Linked DNA regions of Saccharomyces cerevisiae S288C. The protein of the gene in region 1 purifies or fractionates together with the protein of each later gene. This does not show direct contact. Each region holds a gene or a part of one and is shown on either strand. Other genes may lie near its edges. The genes, in order: PUS9 and MDJ2.

Evidence for each region.
Region 2: the proteins of PUS9 (region 1) and MDJ2 purify together in Saccharomyces cerevisiae (affinity purification with mass spectrometry, with the first as the bait; one large-scale study listed by BioGRID). This does not show direct contact.

Annotation. Positions count from the first base shown.
Region 1 is NC_001136.10:384,262-392,587, reverse strand, and holds PUS9 (pseudouridine synthase PUS9), read left to right. Parts: upstream 1-3,686; coding exon 3,687-5,075; downstream 5,076-8,326. Other genes in the region: GPR1 (Gpr1p), read left to right, coding at 531-3,416; BSC1 (Bsc1p), read left to right, coding at 7,001-7,987. UniProt on the Saccharomyces cerevisiae protein: Responsible for synthesis of pseudouridine from uracil-32 in mitochondrial transfer RNAs.
Region 2 is NC_001146.8:19,365-26,479, reverse strand, and holds MDJ2 (Mdj2p), read left to right. Parts: upstream 1-3,205; coding exon 3,206-3,646; downstream 3,647-7,115. Other genes in the region: EGT2 (Egt2p), read right to left, coding at 1-2,432; PEX6 (AAA family ATPase peroxin 6), read left to right, coding at 3,847-6,939. UniProt on the Saccharomyces cerevisiae protein: Plays a role in mitochondrial biogenesis and protein folding.

The DNA.
Region 1 (8,326 bases):
TAATTGAACCACGGTGGTACGATACAGCCAAGAAGAGCTCATGAAGCGGCTGACCATTTCGAAAAGTAATCTGTATATATGAAGGTCTTTTCCCTTGAATCATGTCTCAATAAGTAGTTCATTTTTTTTTGCCCTCTTGTTTTTCTTTTTCATTTTTTTAAATCACACTTTTTTTTCTTTTCAAGATTTATAAATCTTCCTTCCAGGTTTGAGCCGGACCCATTGTTTAATTAAAGCATAGAAGGCAACGAAGGAGTGGGTTATAGAATTAGCATTGCGGCAAAAACGTCATATTTATTAATATTTATTTGCGAAGGTCATATTCAACGCAATCGCACGTCCTCTTCCGTCTTTTTTCTAGCTTTTGTCCTTTTTTATTTGTCTACATCCCTTTCTCTACGGTATCCAGAAGAAGGTGTGTGTGTGTGTGTGTGTGTGTGTCTATAAAAAGCAGTAAGAGTCACCAAAAAAAAAAAACGACAAACAAGTGATCCGAAGTGTGACGAATAAAGCAAACTCTCCAACTCAAAATGATAACTGAGGGATTTCCCCCGAATTTAAACGCGTTGAAAGGGTCATCCTTACTAGAAAAGAGAGTTGATTCTCTCCGACAGCTTAACACTACCACGGTTAACCAGCTGCTGGGGTTGCCGGGGATGACCTCTACATTCACGGCTCCGCAACTGTTGCAGTTAAGAATAATAGCTATAACTGCGTCTGCCGTGTCCCTTATTGCCGGTTGCCTCGGAATGTTCTTCCTTTCTAAAATGGATAAGAGACGAAAAGTCTTCAGACATGATCTCATCGCATTTTTGATAATTTGCGACTTTCTTAAAGCTTTTATTCTGATGATTTATCCCATGATTATCCTTATTAATAATAGTGTGTATGCAACACCTGCATTTTTTAATACCTTGGGTTGGTTTACGGCCTTTGCCATCGAAGGTGCAGACATGGCCATAATGATATTCGCCATACATTTTGCTATTTTGATCTTCAAGCCTAATTGGAAATGGCGAAATAAAAGATCGGGAAATATGGAGGGTGGCTTGTACAAAAAAAGGTCATATATCTGGCCAATTACTGCATTAGTACCTGCCATTTTAGCAAGCTTAGCCTTCATTAATTATAATAAACTCAATGACGATTCTGACACCACTATTATACTGGATAATAATAACTACAACTTTCCCGATTCTCCCAGGCAAGGTGGCTACAAACCTTGGAGTGCATGGTGCTATTTACCACCCAAGCCGTACTGGTATAAAATTGTTTTAAGCTGGGGTCCCAGATATTTCATTATTATTTTCATATTTGCAGTCTACCTCAGTATTTATATTTTCATTACCAGTGAAAGTAAAAGAATTAAAGCGCAAATTGGAGACTTTAACCATAACGTACTAGAGGAAGAGAAAGAAAAGAAAAAATTATTTGGGCTCGGTCACTGGGGAAAAGCCAAATGGTATTTCAGATCCTATTTTAAATTGCCATTGCTACATCTTTTGAGAAATTTAAAGAATTTTTTCACCATTTCGTTCATAGATCCGAATGAGGAAACAGACGATTCAGGTAGTAGTAATGGAACTTTCAATTTTGGTGAGAGTTCGAATGAGATACCTACACTATTCAGAAAAACAAATACAGGTAGTGATGAGAATGTCTCGGCAAGTGGTGGAGTTCGCTTACTTGACTATAACAGTGCTAAACCACTCGATATGTCCAAATATGCAATGTCTGAACAGCCAGATTTGGAAAGAAATAATCCTTTTGATTGTGAAAATGACATCACACTCAATCCTTCGGAACTAGTATCCAAGCAAAAGGAGCATAAAGTTACTTTTAGTGTTGAAAATGAAGGACTGGATACAAGAAAAAGTTCAATGCTGGGACATCAGACTTTCTCTTGCCAAAATTCTCTAGAATCTCCTTTAGCAATGTATGATAATAAGAACGATAACAGCGACATAACTAGTAACATTAAGGAAAAAGGAGGCATCATCAACAACAACAGTAACAACGACGACGACGACAACAACAACAATAACGATAACGATAACGATAACAATAATAGCAATAATAATAATAACAATAATAATAATAACAATAATAATAATAACAATAATAATAACAATAACAACAACAACAACAATAATAATAATAATAGTAATAATATTAAAAATAACGTTGATAACAATAATACTAATCCAGCCGATAATATTCCTACACTTTCTAATGAAGCATTTACTCCGTCTCAACAATTTTCACAGGAGAGAGTGAATAATAATGCAGACAGATGCGAAAATTCAAGTTTCACCAACGTACAACAGCATTTCCAAGCCCAAACCTACAAACAAATGAAAAAACGTAGGGCACAAATTCAAAAGAATCTAAGGGCAATATTCATTTATCCACTGTCGTATATTGGGATATGGCTTTTCCCCATCATTGCAGATGCGTTGCAATACAATCATGAAATAAAGCATGGGCCTACCATGTGGGTGACATACATTGACACTTGCGTTCGACCATTAAGTTGTCTCGTCGACGTCATTGTTTACCTGTTCAAGGAAAAACCTTGGAACTATTCATGGGCAAAAACAGAATCAAAATATCTCATTGAAAAATATATTCTGAAAGGAGAGCTTGGTGAAAAGGAAATTCTGAAGTTTTGTCACAGCAATTGGGGGAAAAGAGGTTGGTATTATCGTGGTAAGTGGAAGAAAAGAAAATGCTGGAAATATTCTACAAACCCTCTGAAGCGTATACTGTGGTTTGTTGAACGCTTCTTTAAACAATTGTTTGAACTAAAACTACACTTTAGTTTTTATGACAATTGTGACGATTTTGAATACTGGGAAAACTACTATTCAGCCAAAGATTCAAACGATAATAAACGCACAGAATCTGATGAGACTAAAACGAATAGTAGCGATCGCTCCCTTCCATCAAATTCACTTGAACTACAGGCAATGCTTAATAACATCACGGCCGAAGAGGTTGAAGTGCCCTTGTTTTGGAGGATCATTCATCATATTCCAATGCTTGGCGGAATAGATCTTGATGAGTTAAACAGATTGTTGAAAATACGGTACAATAACGACCATTTTTCTCTACCCGGGTTGAAATTTGCATTAAACCAAAATAAAAGTCACGATAAACATCAGGACGTCTCAACTAACAGTATGGTCAAATCCAGCTTCTTTTCAAGCAATATTGTCACAAACGATGATGAGAATAGCATTGAAGAGGATAAGAATTTACGCTATTCAGATGCTAGTGCATCTGAAAATTATCTGGTCAAGCCCACAATACCAGGTACGACTCCTGATCCAATAATTGAGGCGCAGAACGATAATGATAGTAGTGATAGTAGCGGCATAGATTTGATAGCCTTCTTAAGAAATGGACCATTATAAAGTTTTTGTATCGCGATGTTTGAAAATGGAAAGTAAGGAACGTAATACAAATTGACAAGTAGCCGACATGAATGACGCTCACTTCTCTTATATATGTTAGGTAGTATATGCATTATAGAATTTATTCATTGAAGCAATGTGATTCCTCGATAAGTAAGCTTTTTTTCTGTCTGGCGGCGAACCATTAGAGAACAAAAGACCGAGTTAAGAAAAAGTTCATAAAAAACTTTTGAAAATGGATGAGTGCTCGTATAATGGAATAGGAAACTTATGCAAAGAAATAATAGGTTAAGAAATTTGTTTACAGTGCCAGTAATAATGGCTCGACAACTCAAAAGGAATGCATTATCTGCAGGTCTTGCTTTTGCAGGTAATGCAACCTCAAATGAGTTTGATGAACATTTGCAAAATGAGGTTGAAAGAGAGAGGGAAATTCAAAAGAAAAAAAAAATAAAGCGAACTCAATCAAAAAAATCGCCAGATTTGATTAATAAATCTACTTTTCAATCACGAACGATAGGCAGCAAAAAAGAGAAACATAGACAACTAGATCCAGAGTATGAAATTGTCATCGATGGCCCTCTAAGGAAAATCAAGCCCTACCATTTTACGTACAGGACCTTTTGCAAAGAGCGTTGGAGAGATAAAAAATTGGTTGATGTCTTTATATCTGAATTTCGAGATCGTGAATCTGAATATTATAAAAGAACAATCGAAAACGGGGACGTTCATATAAACGATGAAACTGCGGACTTATCTACTGTAATTCGCAATGGTGACCTGATTACGCATCAGGTACATAGACATGAACCTCCAGTCACTTCCAGGCCTATCAAAGTTATTTTTGAAGATGATAACATAATGGTTATTGATAAACCGAGCGGTATACCTGTTCACCCAACTGGCCGATATCGGTTCAATACAATTACGAAAATGCTTCAAAATAATCTCGGATTTGTTGTGAACCCATGTAATAGGTTAGATAGGCTTACAAGTGGATTAATGTTTTTGGCAAAAACTCCGAAGGGAGCCGATAATATCGGCGATCAACTAAAAGCTCGAGAAGTCACTAAGGAATACGTGGCCAAGGTAGTTGGAGAATTTCCAGAAACGGAAGTAATTGTTGAAAAACCTCTAAAACTGATCGAGCCAAGGCTTGCTCTTAATGCAGTTTGTCAAATGGACGAGAAAGGAGCCAAACATGCAAAAACTGTTTTTAACAGAATCAGCTACGACGGTAAAACGAGTATTGTAAAGTGCAAACCGCTTACCGGGCGATCACATCAAATTAGAGTACATTTACAGTACTTAGGCCACCCAATTGCTAACGATCCTATTTATTCCAATGATGAAGTATGGGGTAACAATCTCGGAAAAGGCGGCCAGGCTGACTTCGATATAGTTATTACTAAGCTAGACGAAATAGGGAAAAGAAAACCTGCTAAAAGTTGGTTCCATAGTAATGGCGGGTACGGTGAGGTATTAAGGCAAGAAAAATGTTCTATTTGTGAATCTGATTTGTATACTGATCCTGGCCCCAATGATCTTGATCTGTGGTTACATGCCTATCTATACGAATCAACTGAGACTGAAGAAGGAACCGAAAAGAAAAAGTGGTGCTACAAAACAGAGTATCCAGAATGGGCTCTGAGAAGATAGAGGTTCCTGACTTGTCGGACAATAATACATAGAAAACTGGTCTTCTGTTATAATCAGTCATTGGCCAATCAAAAATGACAGTAACAGAACATCACGCTACAATCTTAATCTTAATTTATAAAAAAGCTAAAATCTTTACAGGAGGAAGACAATGAGATGTGAAGAATGACCACTTCTCCTTTTCTTTTCCATTTCTTTTCTTCCACACTCCTAGTATTCCCGGTAGTATTCTTTTCGCAACCTAAAATTTCACGTAGCAGAGAAAATCGGAGTCTTGAAAGTGTTAACCATAAAATTTCATTGATAAAATGATCTTCGAGGCTTTCTGCTATCCAAATCCACGTTTCTTTTTATTTATTTATTAAAAACCATAAAGTAAAAACTTTGTTAAGGCTTGGAAGCGACCGAGCGCAGACCGCTTGTGTCATCGATTACTCAGATAGGAAATCTTTTATTTATCACCCGCTGAAGCACGCAGCAACAACCGGTTGACCGACGCAATTCTTTGTTTACTTTTCCTTCTACTCATGATCTTCTGTTCCATTTGCCACCCGATCGAAGAAAAAATTTTACGGCCAGTTGCTTCTTGGGCGTAAGGCTCCGATCTTTACGAAGAAATCTTAATTTTTGCCTGAAAGCATGGCTTAAAAGCCGAAAAAGCAAAACTTAATGATTGACAGATCTTTTTTAGGAAATTTTTTGACGGTGAAAAACCCGGCTTCTAGAAAAAAAAACGATGGGAAAAAAGAACTGGAAAAAAAAAACTTTAAACTTTGCTTATGTCAAATTTAAATTTCAATTCGGAATTAACACCTGCCGCCCCCGTTTATTGTCCAGCGGGGAGTCTTTGTCGTACTTTCTTCTTTTCTTCTTCTTTCTTAATGAAGCACCTAGTTTAAGGATAAAAAAGATTATATCGCTTGTCTATGGCTTACGTAAACATTATTTCTTTGATATACTATTCCGTTAGAATGGAAGGGGGCCATATGATTCTGATTTTCTTGGCCTGGGGGGATGGAAATTTTCCTTTTAGAGCTGCCTGTACAAGACCGAGTGTTCGTTCCTCCTTTAGCATAGAAAATACGGTTATTAGATTATTGGGGCATTTGGCCTGCTTCCATCTTAACGCGAACAAATACTATTCAAGAACTTGTGCTACCTCTTGAAACCAAATGTTAAACTGTTCTGCCATATTTGAAAATAATTTCAAAGTTGTGGGAAAAATATTTTGCCATCATACGACAAACGTTTCTCTGGCTGTGACTGATAGTCGTGTAGGTCCTGTATTATCTTGCTGACAAACATCTTAAAAAGTCTTTTGGAAAAAGAAAAAAATAAACTTTCCTTCTTTTTTTTTTGGTTCCTGCGGCTCTTTCAAGGGGCTGCCAAACCTTATATTCTCCTCCTGTCATTTTAGAAGGAGAGGTAGCGGTCTTTTCTTTTTTTTCGTGCCTACACGCGCACATGACGATAAAACTGGCCCAGGCGAGATCAGATCAGCATTTGCACGTTGCATTTTACTTGTTTTCTTATTGGCAAAGAAAAAAAGCTCGGAACAAGCCACTAATACCCGATTCTATGCTTACAGAATAACCGATACTACTGGAAAGAAAAATTTTTCACATTAGTTCGCTGCATCTCCATGATCGTTTAATTATTTTATATTTAAGAGAAGCAAATCACTTCCTCCAATGTCATGATGGTCTTGGCAATTTTCCTCCCCTTGTTGCAAAAGTGTAAAATAGGTATCCACATCATTCATAAGAAAACTACTAATATCATTTTGCCTCCTATTTGCGGCCTTGCTCACAAATTCAGCGACTGCTGATAGAATTGATGACAAGGTGAGCCCTTCATTTGATCTAAGCAAAAGAGACGAAAGCGTTGCTATCAATGGTTGTCCAAATTTGGATTTCAACTGGCACATGAGCCAACAGAATATACTACATTATGATATGGATGTTACTTCCGTATCATGGGTCAAGGATAACACATACCAGATTACTATTCATGTCAAAGCCGTAAAAGATATCCCTTTGAAATATTTATGGTCTTTAAAGATTATTGGTGTCAACGGTCCCTCAAGCACCGTACAACTTTACGGCAAAAATGAGAAGACATACCTAATCAGTGATCCAACAGATTTTACATCCACTTTTCAGGTTTATGCTTACCCTTCTTCTGACGGTTGCACAGTTTGGATGCCAAATTTCCAAATCCAGTTCGAATATCTACAAGGTGATGCTGCTCAGTACTGGCAAACTTGGCAATGGGGGACAACCACCTTCGATTTATCGACAGGTTGTAACAATTATGACAATCAAGGCCACTCACAAACGGATTTCCCTGGATTTTATTGGACCTACCAGTGCAAGGGAAACAATGATGGCACTTGTACAAAAGCCTCGTCTTCATCCATTACTACTTCATCCATTACTACTTCATCCACTACTACTTCATCCACTACTACTTCATCCACTACTACTTCATCCTCTACTACTTCATCCTCTACTACTTCATCCTCTACTACTTCATCCTCTACTACTTCATCCTCTACTACTTCATCCTCTACTACTTCATCCTCTACTACTTCATCCTCTACTACTTCATCCTCTACTACTTCATCCTCTACTACTTCATCCTCTACTACTTCATCCTCTACGAAAACTTCCACTACTACGTCATCTACTGTGAAAAGCTCTTCCACTACATCCATTGATTTTACTACTTCCGTTGACTCACATACTTCATCAAGCGTAGCCGATATTTATCGTTCAAGAACATCTACTGATGTCACCACATTAGCAGCTTCAACTAGTCCTTTCAGCAGTTTCACTTCAAGTGACTCTAGTAGTTCAAGCGATGTAACCAGTTCAACCATTCAAACTACTTCTGTTGATCCAACCACTTAAGTAGTAAGTTCAAGTTCAGAAGACCCAACTAGTTCAAGCGCTGTGACTACTTCAGTTGACCCAACTACTTCAGTTGACCCAAATACTTCAGCTGATCCAACTACCTCGACCGTTCAAACTACTTCTGTTGATCCAACTACTTCAGTTGACCCAACTAGTTCTATAGTCAGTTCTACTTCAGTTGATCCAACTACTTCAGTTGACCCAACTACTTCAGCTGACCCAACTACCTCGACCGTTCAAACTACTTCAGCTGATCCAACTACTTCCGTAGTCAGTTCAAGTTCAGCTGATCTAAGTAGCTCTGTTATCAGTTCAAGTTCAGCAGACCCAACTAGT
Region 2 (7,115 bases), on another chromosome or scaffold:
GTACTCATAATGACTGTTGGTGTTTCCAGCGTAGAAATTGGAAGCATACTTCCATATTCAGTAACTTGAGCCGACTGTGTAGATGAAATTACACTATACGCATCACCTTTATCCGTTGCAGTAGCTTCGGTCAATTTGGTGGAGGACACCATACTAAAGGTACTGTTTCTACTTGTACCTGTAACGACTGTAGGCTTCAGGGTGGAAATTGGAAGTAAGCTGTCGTACTCCGTAACCTGGGCTGATTCTGTGGATGAAATTACACTATAGGTATCACTTTTATCTGTACCGGTAACTACGGATTGATTGAGCCCAGTGGTGAAAGCCAAACTCGAACTACCGTCTCTACTGGTGCTTGTAGTAGCAGTAGTTACCTTGGTGTCAATTGTGGACGATAATAGTGAGCTGCTATGATATGAGGGTTGAAGCGAACCAGAATGGGTTGCATGAGTGAAAGTAGCATTTCTGGCATTAGCAGCTGCTGTCGCAGCGTTAGTGTTGATTGTTGACACCGAAAGTGAACTGTTGTTTACGATAGATTGCGCTATTTCAGTTGAAGAGGCCACCTTATTACTACCAGTTTTATCGGTACCAGAAGTGGTGGTACTAGTAGTAATAGTCGAGATTGGTATCAAACTCCCTATTTCAGTAAGTTGTGCAGACTCTGTAGTAGTGGTTAGAATATAAGACCCAGAGGCAACCGTTGTGTTTGAAACAAATGGGCCGGATGATAAACTGGACGTAGTAGAACTAACTGAAGAAGTATTAGTGATACTAGAAGAAATACTTGTTCCTGTTATGTTAATCGCGAACGGAGCAATGGTGGCTAATTGAGTTGCGGATGATGTTGTGGAGTTGGAGACATATGGCGGATTAGTAGATTGACTTGCAGATGAAGCTCCTGAAACAGTAGTGTTTGCCAGGTATGGAGAGCTAATTACAGATTCAAGAACAGATGAGGATGAGAGTGTAGTGGAGTTACTAACATATGAAGGAGTAGTAGTATGTTGGGTAGCTGATGATACTGATATTGTGACGTTACTGGTGTATGATAGAGTGCTTGACAATTTTTCAGCAGATGAAACTGCTATAGTAGAAGTAGATTGGGTAACAGCGGTAGTTGTAGAATTATCAATGTAGGAAGCCTGTGTGACAGATATACTAGCTGAACTGATAATACTATATGTTTCAGTAGCAGACAGAGAAGATGAAGGAGTAGTAAAGGTTGAGTTTGAAGAACTTGGAGCCGATAAAGAAATACTTGAAGAAGAAGCTTGTTCACTGCTAGAAGAAACCGTAGAGACAGCGGACATGGAAGCGTCCGCCGAGGTGCTAGCACCGTCAACTGTAGAAGAAAGGATCCCGCTACTCAATGATGCAGTAACCGCAACTTCAGGGATAGCGGATGATTGCGAAGTATAAGAAGAAAGCGTTGAATTTGAGTATGTTGGTGTTATAGCAGCATCAGAGCTAGTTGTGTCATCACTGGTGGTGGAATCAATGTTAGCAGCTGACTCAGAATATAATTCTGAGGCTAGGGTGGTTGAAGTATCTCTCTTTCCTAAAAGTCTGACAGATGTACCTTCATCGGGATATGTTAATTCGACAGTATTTGATATGGACGAGGTAGATAGCTTCTTTGTGAAATAAGTCACACGGAAGTATAGCCCACCGCTGATTGTAGAATTAAATAAACATCTAATTTCATCTTCTGTGGAGTAGTCATGAACAGTTGTATATGGGATAGCATTAATAGGTTCGTTAAAAGAATCAACGGCAGTGACAACCTCAAACTTAGTTAACGAAGTATCGAATACGTAATCTGAGGAGGAAGATGTCTGAGAAGTCAAATAAACGGGATTTCTGAACGTTCTCATTGGTAAGTCAACGGTAAACCAGGCGGTATTATTAGTTTTGTATATACCACCATCTGTTGTTATAGCAGAAGTATTTTTAGCGACGTAATCAATAACGTCATTAAACATAGTATTTTCTGAATAGAAACTGTAAACGATGCTTTTTGGTTCTGTAACTTTGGATTTAGCATCTGATGTAAGCTGTGCAAGGAAGTTAAATGTAGTAGTTATATCTTCTGAACTCTTTTCTGGAATAGAAATGGTGAAATTGTTCGTCGATTTATCTGGGCGTGATATCGTGGCAACACTGTTAGAATTATGTTTTATGCTGAAGGGTTCTTGAGGGAATGAGCTGAAAGCATCTGGTACTTGGAATGTTATATTTTGCTGACTTCCCTTTGGAATAGACAGTTGCCCTTCTATTATGAACCAATGATCTGGATCCGTACATTCTTTTGTTTTGGTATAACTATCTGTTATTTGAATATCTTTTAAAATCGGTTGCGTTTGTGTGAGAGCGTTTGCTAGGCCGAGTATCGAAATGACTCGTACTAGATGTAACAATAGTTTATTCATTGTAGTGTTTTATATTATGCTTGTTTATGTTGATTCTACTGAAAGAAAACCATCAGAAAGTTTGAGTCTAAGGACACAAGTTTTAGGTCGGCAAGAATGTATTCTGCTTTTATATTTGTACTGTTATGGACGAATAAAAAAAAAACAAGCCACATTAAAAAGGAAGTACTAAATCGTATTCTTAGCATCAAACCAGCATCTTACTCATAAAAGCTTGAGTACCTTTTCGGAAGTGTCAGCCGAAAGTGTCAGTAAATTAGTCCCTTGTCAGCCTGCTGTTTTTCCTCACGGCGCGGAGCCAGCGCGTCCGAATTAGGAAAATAATAGAGCCAGCAAGAACCATTTCACTAAAGAGGTTACTAAAGAGGTTACTAAAGGAACCAGCAGAGGCTATATTAGTTGTGAATGGTACCATTCTATGCATAAATTTATTGGGATATGATCCTCCATGGTGGGACTTCGTTTAATATCAAATCCTTAGCACTGTTTTTTTTTGCTTTTTCTTTTTTGTGTTTCTTTTTCTTTGGCAGGGAAACGACATATCCAACATCCCATACACTATTGATCTTCGTTATGGCATTACTGCCACGCTCAACGTCATTTTTCGTCTTGTAGCTTATTCTCTGATTATTGTTATTGCAAGAGGTAAACGCTCATTGTGAATAACAATTTCGGAAACGGAGATACAATCTAGAAAAAAATAACAACAAACGAATTCGTTGCTAGGATCCACTCAATACACAGTATAGCCACAAAGAATAGGATATTCCAGCATGGTTTTGCCTATAATAATTGGTTTGGGCGTGACAATGGTTGCTCTAAGTGTCAAGTCTGGTCTCAATGCATGGACCGTCTACAAGACCCTGTCCCCTTTAACTATTGCAAAACTAAATAACATTCGCATAGAAAACCCGACGGCGGGCTACCGCGATGCACTTAAGTTCAAAAGCTCACTGATAGACGAAGAACTGAAAAATAGATTAAACCAGTACCAGGGAGGCTTTGCACCGCGAATGACAGAGCCCGAAGCCTTGCTCATCTTGGATATCTCCGCCAGAGAGATTAATCACTTGGATGAAAAATTACTGAAAAAAAAGCACAGGAAGGCTATGGTTCGTAACCACCCAGACAGAGGAGGGAGTCCCTACATGGCGGCCAAGATAAATGAGGCGAAAGAAGTTCTCGAAAGAAGTGTTTTACTAAGAAAGAGATAAAAGAACTTTATATATCATGTAGCCAATTGCTACACTTCCTTACACCACATAGTATACGGCGATAATCGTCAACACTTCCGGGAAAGTGCGGCCATCGGAGACTTTCAAACAAGTCATTAGAATTAGAACAAAGAACAGTAGTGGAGAGCATATATGTGTTTGCATACCCTCCAAAAGAAAGCGATTATAGTAACATTAATATGAAGGCATCGCTTACGTTTAGTCTCTCCGGAATATACGCCCCCTGTAGCATTTCTAGGGATATATATCTCGAATACGGCGATAAAAAAGCTGAATGTTTATATGGGACAATTAGATTGCCTCAGTACGGTCCAGGTTGCACGCCTGGTAAAATTGTACATTGTGTCCTGGATGATTCACTGCCCTTCTGTAGCATTGTTGTACCTTCCAAACTTTTTGGGTTTATGCCGACACAGCCCACTATGGATTTTTGCTATTTTGAACCCATATTAGACAATGTAGTACCTGTACTGGATAGCGTAACGTTTCTGATTAATGAACAATTGTACTCAAAACTAATGGACCTACCGCAAGAGATGCAACAAATACAATTTTTGCATTACAAATATAACATCAACTCCATGGAAACCGTGGTTCATTCTCGAGATATTTTAACATCTGGTCTTTGCCAAATTTTAAACTGCTCACCTTTCCCGCAGGGCCTTGTTGATTTTACAGAAACCCAATTGATATTAGTAAATGATACTGAGCAGAAACTAAGTGCTCTAAAATATGCTAACGAAGATGAAGAATATGCATTACCTAAAATAGGGACAAATTCTGCTTTATCAATTGATCTTGAATCTCTCCCCTGCACAATTTCAAGAGATCTTTTGCGACCTGCACCTCACATCAATGATGATAATTCAATATATGCCTTTACAGACGCTGAAACTCTACTGCGCCTGGATGTCACAAGTGGATCGTTTATAACAGTGTCAAATATGGGTTGCGTCAGGCTAGTTAAGCTGTTTGTTTTACTACTCCCCAACGGCTTTAAAAAAAGAACAATATACGCACCTCCCAAAATAATAGCAAGCTTTCCAGACTGCAGCGTCGTGACAATATCAAAGTCCAATATAGGCCATACAGATATTCCCATTGCTAATCAAGTTTTCATCTCAAGAGTTGGAGGCTGGCTTCAATCTCAGAAATGCTTTCAAAATATTATTCTAACAACCTTGAAAAAGTTTTTTAGCGAGAGCAAAAGGATTCTTTGTCAAAATGATTTAATCCCAATCGCTTTTGATTCAAGTATGGCTGATCTCAATATAGCAGAGGAAAATGATGAGTCTGATGACGAAGATGAGCTAGGGCAGTACTACAAGAACGATTCCCTTGTATGGTTCTTTGTCACAAGCGCAGAGCTCGATTGCTTCTCTAAAGATAATTCTCATTTTATTATTGATCCCAATCGGACGAAGCTAATAACAACTAATATCACTAACAGAAGACCATTACCCTTGAGTAGATCCAATCTTCAGAGATATTACGGTTTTGCTGAAACTTTTTACTATGATTTGCATATCTTCCCCTATGTAAGACAATTGGTTAACATATTAGAAACTTCCTTCAATTGTTCTCAAAGGGGAATCACCCTAAATGCCTCTGTGTTACTTCATTCCACTACAAACAATGTGGGCAAGGCTACAATGGTGAGATTTGCTTCAAAATATCTTGGTATACATCTACTGGAGATAGATTGCCTTTCGCTCACTTCAAATTCAAGACAACTGGATTCAACATCTAAGATTATTGGTTACATTAGGGCTAAATGTGAAAATGTCCTACCGTACGCATCACCTGCTGTGATTTTTTTGGCTCATTTGGATTCAATTTTGCTTGACGTAAACGCTAATCAAGATCCAGAGGCAATCAAATTACAAAAATCTATAAACTTCGAAATGTCTAAACTTCTGGACGATTTTACGTTTAAATTCCCAGGAACTACATTTGTTGGCTCCGTAAATAACATAGATAACGTGCCTTCCAGCTTTAGATCACATATGAGATTTGAGATTCTCGTACCCGTTCCGTCTGAAGCACAGAGACTGCGTATCTTTCAGTGGTACTTATCTTCACATGAACTAAACAGAGATGTTCAACAAAAGGTTCCAGTATCTTACATGGATAATATTTCATTTTCATCACTCTCTTCATATTCTGCTGGTTTAACTCCTTTAGACATCAAATCAATTGTGGAAACGGCACGAATGACGGCTACTGCGCGTTTTTACCAAGAATCAAAGAAGTGTGGATGGCTTCCGCAATCAATTTTGATCACTCAGGAGGATTTATCAAAAGCTACTTCGAAAGCTAGGAACGAATTCTCGGTTTCGATTGGTGCCCCACAAATCCCTAACGTAACTTGGGATGATATAGGTGGTATTGATTTTGTTAAAGGTGAAATATTGGACACAATAGACATGCCGCTAAAACATCCTGAATTATTTACCTCAGGTATGAAAAAGAGAAGCGGTATTCTTTTTTATGGTCCACCGGGTACAGGTAAAACTCTAATGGCTAAGGCCATTGCAACAAATTTTTCTTTAAATTTTTTTAGTGTTAAAGGCCCTGAACTGTTGAATATGTACATTGGTGAGAGTGAAGCTAATGTGCGCAGAGTGTTTCAAAAGGCGAGAGAGGCTAAACCTTGTGTCATATTTTTCGATGAAATCGATTCAGTAGCACCCAAACGTGGTAATCAAGGTGATTCGGGTGGTGTTATGGATCGTATCGTTTCACAGTTACTAGCAGAGTTAGATGGTATGAGTACCGACGCTGACGGTGTATTTGTTATCGGAGCAACAAACAGACCAGACTTATTGGACGAAGCACTACTAAGACCAGGACGATTCGATAAATTGTTATATTTAGGCATTCCGGATACGGATACCAAACAATTGAATATTTTAGAGGCTCTGACTCGCAAATTCGTGCTCGACAACGACGTAAAGCTTATTGAGTTGGCAAAGCTATGTCCATTTAATTACACCGGGGCAGATTTTTATGCTCTCTGCTCAGATGCAATGCTTAACGCCATGTCAAGAATTGCACGCATGGTAGAAAAAAAAGTTTCTCAGCATAACGAATTGACGGGAGAGAATATTTCTACACGTCGCTGGTTTGATAAGATTGCGACAAAAGAGGATACTAAGGTTGTCGTAAAAATGGAAGACTTCTTGAAAGCACAAGAGCAGCTCACCCCAAGTGTGTCGCGGGCTGAACTGAATCATTATGAAGCGGTGAGAGCTAATTTTGAAGGTGCTTAAGTAATATCAACTCAGAGCGTATAGGTAAATTTGTAAATATATGTCCCATATTTTGCCTTGAAATTTATCTTTTTATTTACTTACCCTCCCCGGCTCATAGTATCTATCGAAAGGGAAAAACAGAAAAGATACTAGTAGTTGATTATACATAATAAAAATTTGAAGTAATAACCATA